Oryctolagus cuniculus: one gene and its partner. The protein of the gene in region 1 purifies or fractionates together with the protein of each later gene. This does not show direct contact. Links are inferred from orthologs where the notes say so. Each region holds a gene or a part of one and is shown in the gene's direction. Other genes may lie near its edges. The genes, in order: POLB and LIG3.

Evidence for each region.
Region 2: the proteins of POLB (region 1) and LIG3 purify together in Homo sapiens (affinity purification with mass spectrometry; 3 studies listed by BioGRID and IntAct, counting the BioPlex papers as one, with this or other methods). This does not show direct contact. The link is inferred for Oryctolagus cuniculus from reciprocal best matches to the Homo sapiens genes POLB and LIG3.

The regions. Positions count from the first base shown.
Region 1 is NC_091433.1:92,531,373-92,535,281, forward strand, and holds the start of POLB (DNA polymerase beta), read left to right. Parts: upstream 1-875; 5' UTR 876-1,067; coding exon 1,068-1,128; intron 1,129-1,357; coding exon 1,358-1,415; coding exon of another isoform or gene 1,416-1,458; intron 1,459-3,909.
Region 2 is NC_091448.1:39,277,861-39,281,344, reverse strand, and holds part of LIG3 (DNA ligase 3), read left to right. Parts: coding exon 1-85; intron 86-351; coding exon 352-426; intron 427-767; coding exon 768-914; intron 915-1,294; coding exon 1,295-1,490; intron 1,491-1,865; coding exon 1,866-1,987; intron 1,988-2,188; coding exon of another isoform or gene 2,189-2,251; exon of another isoform or gene 2,252-3,071; coding exon 3,072-3,305; 3' UTR 3,306-3,484. UniProt on the Homo sapiens protein: Isoform 3 functions as a heterodimer with DNA-repair protein XRCC1 in the nucleus and can correct defective DNA strand-break repair and sister chromatid exchange following treatment with ionizing radiation and alkylating agents.

The DNA.
Region 1 (3,909 bases):
TCTTAGGGTCTTGCCATCACTTTGTTCCCACAGAGAGAGGGGAATTAGAAATAAAATATCCTGATGTTTGCAAGGAAAGCTTCCTAGAGTGGCGCGCTTTCTTTCCAGACCCCTGTGCCGCACAAGGCTGCCTTGCAGTGCTGAACACACTGTTGCCACAGACAGCGCTGGCATTAAGTTGCCTCACATACACACCACGTGGCCTATTTGGTGACTGCTGTCGCGCACATGGGCAGATGCTTCAAAAAGTTCGTCAAAAACTGGCACTATCTTTTCATTCCATTTCTCCATGAAGGTTTTGACGCCCCCAGTCCCCTCCTATACGTGAGTAGGGAGTCCTTGGTCCTCCATCTTCCGCCACTGTTTTATATACGTCAGACCCAAAGTTCTGCTTTTCCCCTTCGATGGAAAGAATTCCAAAGAAATGTTCGGAACAGAGGCCAGAACTGTCGCATAGCGGGTAAAGCTGCTGTTTGCGCTGCCAGCATCCCATGTGGCCGAGGGTTCGAGTCCCGACTGTTGCACTTCCGATCCAGCTGCCTGCTACTGCGCCTGCTGGGATAACCCAACTCCCTGGGCCCCTGCACCCACGTGGGGGCCCCACATGAAGCTCCTGGCTCCTGGCTCCGGCCTGGTCCTTACGGCCATTTGGGGAGATGAACCCGCGATGGAAGCTCTCTCTGCACTCTCTCTGTAACTCTGCCTCTCGGAGAAACAAATACGTCTTTAAAAGCAAAACCAAAACTCCGCCGGCCTTCCTGAAAGCACGCCGTCGGGATGGGGCTCTGAGGCGCCCGTCTTCCCACGGCCTCCCCGGGCGCCCCCAGCTCTCCTCAGCGTCTCCTCAGCCGCGGCGGAGAGGCCCCGCCCGCCGTGACGTCACACGCGCGCCGCGCGCCGCGCGCCGCGCCTCCTGTCAGAGGCAGCCATTGTTCGGCGGCTGGCGCCGGCCTCGCTGGGGCCGGGTCCCTCCTGTCCACCTTGCGAGACGCGGGCTGTCCTTCCAGCGGGGAGAGGGGCCCGGTCCCCGGTTGTGCGCACCCTGGAGCCCTTGGGTGCAGGTCACCATGAGCAAACGGAAGGCGCCGCAGGAGACCCTGAACGGCGGAATCACCGACATGCTCACGGGTTCGTACCGGGCCGGGCCCGCCGGCTTCCTTCTCTCCTGCCGCCCCGGTGCCTTCCCTCCCTCGGCTCCTGCCCGGCAGCCTGGTGGGGGCGGTGGGGGCGGCCCCTGCAGCGCGTCGTCAGGCGCGGGGCTGCTGCAGGTGCTCGCCGTCCGTCGAGGCTGCGCAGCCCCCGCGGGTCTCGATTGCTCGGCGCTCGCGTTCACCGGGGCTGCTTGTTGCCTTTGCAGAACTCGCTAACTTTGAGAAGAACGTGAACCAGGCTGTCCACAAGTACAATGCTTACAGGTGGGACGGCATGCGCTCGGGGACGCCCCTGTTTAGTGCGGCGGTACGCTGGGCCGAGGGGCTGGCGGGGCGGGGGCGGGCAAGGCGAGGGTGGTTCCTTACACAATACTTCTGGAAGAATTTGGGCAGAGCTCCGTGGGCTCCCTTCGGATAAGTTCCCAGTTCTGAGTGAAAACCAGTGGAGCCTGTTGTTGGTCCCGTCATCAGACGGGAATTACTGGAAATGCGATGTGTTTGTAAGCCGTAACGAGAGACAGGTCTCCGCTGTGAAATGGATGTGCTCAAAGAGGCACATCTTTCCATCGGGTTGGTCCGTGACTGATCCTGTTACCTTCATGGCTTCTCTCCCCGTCCCTCTCGACATGGACCCAGCCATTGTCACCTCATCCACCTGCTTCCACTCCTTAGCCTGTAAACATGTCCAACTCCCTCCGCTCTCTGCCTTTTTAAGTTCTATTTATTTGGAAGGCAGCCTACCACAGAGAGAAAGAGGTCTAGCATCTGCTGGTACACAAATGACAGGTCAGGGCCAGGCTGAAGCCAGGAGCCAGAAACTCCATCTTGGTCTCCAGTGTGGGTCGTGGGGACTCAAATACTTTGGCTGTCATCTACTGCTTCCTGGGTGTATTAACAGGAAGCTGGATCAGAAATGGAGCATCCAGGACTCTAACCAGTGATCCAGTACAGGATGTGGGCATCCCAAGCATATGTTTATCCTGCTGTGACACAATACCCATCCCATCCCTCAGCTCCTTTTATTTTTTCTTTTAAGATTTATTTTTTTGAAAGACAGAGTTACAGAGAGAGGCAGAGACAGAGAGAGAGGTCTTCCATCCACTGGTTCACTCCCCAGATGGCCACAACGGCCGGAGCTGTGTTGATCCAATGCCAGAAGTCAGGAGCTTCTTCCGGGTCTCCCACATGGGTGCAGGGGCCCAAGGACTTGGGCCATCTTCCACTGCTTTCCCAGGCCATAGCAGAGAGCTGGATCGGAAGAGGAGCAGCCGGGACTAGAGCTTGGCGCCCATATGGGATGCTGGCACTGCAGGCCGGGGCTTTAACCCGCTGTGCCACAGCTCCGGCCCTTCCCTCAGCTCTTAAAAGCAATACTGAAACAATCTTAACTTCCTTCTAGCTAGTGCCTTATCTCTTTGCTTGCGTTAACGTCAGTCTTGTTGAATAATCAGTATTCGGTCTCTGGACTTCACAGTCCTTAGTCATTTCGTATCCCGTTAGAGTGTAGTCGCCATCCTGCCGTTCTCTGGACATGCTCTCACCAACACCTTGTTGGGCTCTCAGCGGCATTCCCCGCTGGCTCGTTCATGAAAGTCTTTTCCGTGGCTTCCAGGAGGACAGTCTCTTCATCTCTTCTCTCTCAGCCTTGATTGCTGATAGTTCCCAGAGATCTGCCCCTGAGCCCTCTTTCTTCACTCTCACGCTTTCCCTGGCAATCCTTCTGTTGTTGGCTTTGAATACAACTTACATCAGTGACTCCACGTATGTGTCTCATTGGGCTTTTCTCCAGGATTTTAGTCCCATAGTCCTTTTATCTCAGCTCTCCCCTTCCTATTCCTATCATAATTCAAAACTGATCATGCTCATTGCTTTCCTTACTACTTCCTGTGACGTCCGATGTGATGTAACTGTGCTGTCGTCCACACACTTGATGATACAGAAATCAGAGGTATTCAGCCCTGTATTCTGGGTGGGTCACAGCAGTCTTCAGAGTGGAGGTGTTTAGCCTTGAAGGAGTTCATCAGGGGACAAGTGAGAGGAAGAACAATTTAGGCAAAGGAAGCAAAGTGTGCCAAGGCATATGCTGATCACATCAGTAATTCAGTTTGCTTATGGGGTGTGGTCTGAGTGGGAGGTAACTCTGTAAAACAGGTGATGCCCCACTGCCCCATTTTGCAAATATGTAGACATGTTCTTTTGTCCTTGATACAATCCAAATACGTCATAGCACACAAAAGGCCTTTCATGTTCTCGTTCTTACTCCCTTTCAGGCTTTTCCTCACAATGCCAGGTACCTGGCACTACTTGCCTCTTCTGAAGTAATCCCCTCCATACACTGCCCTTGGCCGACGACTCCTTAACCTTTAAATATGTCCTTTCCACTGTCGTCATCGTTATATGTTCATAAAGAAGTTGAATTCCAAACCTAAAGGTCTGTGTGTGCTAGAACAGAAGGAAAATGCAAAGTTCCAAAGACTGTCCCAATATTTATGCTCTTGACTTACCTTTCTGTCAACATTGACACAAAACCGTATTTCCCGTTGAAATTATGGACAGGATGCCGTCAGTGAGCTCCTGAGGTATACTCCATCACCAGATTGCTGAGTTGGATAGTTGGATATGTGTGGAGGTGGGCAAAATAACAGGTCACTGCTTTTATGCTGAACTGAAACGGGAGCAAATTTTTTTTTTTTTTTTTTTTACAGAACTGGTATAAGGACATCAGTGAATACAGTTTAAAACCATGAATTCTCAAGTA
Region 2 (3,484 bases), on another chromosome or scaffold:
CACGGTCACCAAGTGTGCGGGAGGCCATGACGACGCGACACTTGCCCGCCTGCAGAAGGAACTGGACATGGTAAAAATAAGCAAGGTGAGGACAGGACCTGGTTGACTCTGGACTGGCTGTCACTACAGGGCAGAGCACGCGTTGTTTCTCTCTCTCCCCCGACAAAGGAAAACACTGATTGGCCTTGGGGGCAGGTTAGGCCTAAAACCAGAGTGCGATGCTTGTGGAAATTGGCCTGTGGGCCCTCTGGGCCACATACCTCGGGACAGGGAGGACCAGTCTTCTCATAATCCCATTACCTAGAGAGGCTTGAAGCTTGACAGCCCAGAATAACATCTTTTCTCCTCCAGGATCCCAGCAAAATACCCAGCTGGCTGAAAATCAACAAGATCTACTATCCTGACTTCATTGTTCCAGACCCAAAGGTATCGTCCTGCCCGCAAAAATCAAATGGCAAGTGCTCTGGTGCCACAGAGGAGCCATCTCAGCCATAATGCAAGTCCACCTAGGCTGGGGTCTAGAGAGTTTAGCCAGTACCCGGCAGGGTGGGGTCCTGAGGAGTCATCTTCAACAGGGAGGAAGAATACCAGTACCCACCACTCTGTTCTAGAAGCACTTGGCTCACGAGAAGACAAGGCTTCCTAAAAGCCCAGTCTGCCAGCTCTTAGCCGGACGTGGTGGGTTTTAACTGTTCTGTATTGCTTCTAGCTGGATGGGAGACGTTTCCTCCTGACCAGTGTCCACCTGTCTGCCTTGCTCCTGACAGAAAGCTGCTGTGTGGGAGATCACAGGGGCTGAATTCTCCAAGTCTGAAGCTCACACAGCTGACGGGATCTCCATCCGATTCCCTCGCTGCACACGAATCCGGGACGATAAGGACTGGAAATCTGCCACTAACCTCCCACAACTCAAGGTGCCAGCACTGGGCCCCGTGGGTGTCCCCACCCCACTGTCCCATCGTGGGCATCTGCCCTGTTCACCCACCCTCTCATCTCCTTCCCCCTTTTCAGGGAGACAGTGGGAAGACAGGGACACCCAGCTGGCACCAGGCCAGGAACAGCTCCCAGTAGTGACCAGCCTGGCATTCTCCACAGGGTCCCTGCTGTGTTGATTAGGAACTGGTGCACAGATACCAGTGGTGGGCATCCTGAGCACTCAGTTACAGGGCCACACTAAGAACCAGGGAAGCCAGCTCCTCTTCCCAGCCACCAGTGCCTACGCCACCACACCCACCACTTGAGGCCTGTGTCTGGGGAGGGAGTGAAACCCTTGTCATTCTCCTGCACTCCTCAGGAACTGTATCAGCTGTCCAAGGAGAAAGCAGACTTCACCGTAGTGGCTGGAGATGAGGGGAGCTCCTCTACAGGGGGCAGCAGTGGTGAGAATGAGGGTGCCTCCGGACCTGCTGTGTCCCGCAAAGCCCCCAGCAAGCCCTCTGCGAGTGCCAGGAAGGCTGAAGGGAAGCAGAATAATGCCAACGGCAAAGGCGGTAAGCAGGAGAGGGTGCTGTGAGGCGGAGACTGAAGGGCCCGGGCCTGGCCTCAGGGTCCAGCTTTGAGGTCATGTGATTCTCTGTGTCCATAAAGCTGACCTTGACTGCATTCCTGCTGTTGTGTCCAGCCGTGGGCCAGAAGCGGTCCTGCTGGGCACTCCATCTGCTTGGGAAATTTGAAAGATGCCTTCCTGGGGGAACCAATCTGAGCAGGGGCTAAGCCCCTTTGAAGCTCAAGGGCTTAGCTGATATTCTCTCCCCCTCTCCTACATTCCTAGCAGCAGAAGGGTCTGGCCCTTCCCTTTGCTGTCCCAGAGACCATTATCAACAGTCCCTATCCTCGTAGTTCTTATCCCAGACTCTGTCCTGCAGGCAACAAGCTGAGCACAAAGCATTCCCCTGTGAAACTGGAGGAGAAGCTAGCCAGGAAGTCTTCCCCGGTGAAAGTAGGGGAGAAGCGGAAAGCTACTGATGAGCCCCCGTGCCAAGCAAAGGTAAGAACAGACATAGCAACCCCAGGCGGGCCAGCTGGGTCCAGGGTAGTGTTCCCAGCCTGGACGTGAACTCTGAAACTGAGCAAGGGTGTTTGAAAAACACTGGCTAAACCCCTTGCCCTCCTACAACTGCTTCTCGGGAATGGGCAGGGCCAGCAGTGCTGCTGCTGCTGCACCCTGTACCCTCTTGTTGCCTTGCAGAGGCAGAGGCGGCCAGCCAGACAGCAGAGAGGAAGGAGAGCTGTGCCAGCAGGCAGGAGATAGAGCCCGGCCTAGCCAGGAGAGGCTGCAAAGGCCCACAGCTGCTGGTCCCAAGGTCCAATAAAAGGGAGCAAGCCCAGTCTGGGCATGGGAGTGTAGTGGTGTGAGTTTGTGGCGAGGACGGGAGCAGGTGCAGCCATCACGGAGCCCGGGAGAAGGCACTGGCTTGGTGACTCCTCCAGCTGAGGAGCCTTTCTCCGTGCGCAGTTGTCAGTCTTTGGTTTGGCAACATCAGTTGAGCACCCACTGAGGCCACAACTAGGTTCAGTGCCGGCTCAAGCCTGGGGAGCTGGTGGCCCAAAGAGTAGATAGAGAAGTAAACCTGCGATCACTCCACGGTGTGATTTGTGCTCCCCACTGCCCTGCCTCCACCCAAACGAAGCACACACTCCGAGCACTTGGGTCCTGAACCCAGACTGGGGGAAACCTTTCCCATCCTTCCCCTGCCCAGAACCCTGGAGCCCAGGCACAGTAACAAACAGGAGTCCTGACCCTCACAGCCCGGGTAGTCGTGCAGAGGAACTTGCTTGATCTTTGGGAGCTATCACGGCATCTGTGGGCACTGAGTCCGAGAGCCACTGGATGGCTCCTGGAGACGTGGTCCCATCTTTTACCTCTAGGCAGGGATGAATGGCATGTCACGTGGAATGACTGAAGGATGGCACCAAGTGATGCCTTGCCTTTTCTCTTGGAAACTCTGCCAGTGTCCTAAACTCAGCTCCCTCCGTGTCCAACTTGCATTTGCTGTCCTGTACTCGGTGGGTAAAGCCCCATCTGCGCCCAGTGCAGGCTCAACCCCACCCTGACCCCTGTGCGTTTGCAGGTGCTGCTGGACATCTTCACTGGGGTGCGGCTCTACTTGCCACCCTCCACACCAGACTTCAGCCGCCTCAGACGCTATTTTGTGGCATTCAACGGAGACCTGGTACAGGAATTTGACATGGCCTCAGCCACACACGTGCTGGGTAGCAGGGACAAGAATTCTGAGGCCCAGCTGGTCTCCCCAGAGTGGATTTGGGCATGCATCCGGAAACGGAGGCTGGTAGCTCCCTGCTAGGACTGGAGGCAGTAGACAGAGGAGCCGCGGGAGGGGGGTGGGGGTATGGGCTTTCTCCTGCAAGCAGTGCGTCTTCCAAACCCACTGACTATATTCATGGTCTCTTCTGCACTTGGGTACCCCGAGTGCAGTCAGTTTCTCTTGCTGGCTTAAATAGATCTTTCAGATCTGGGTGCTGG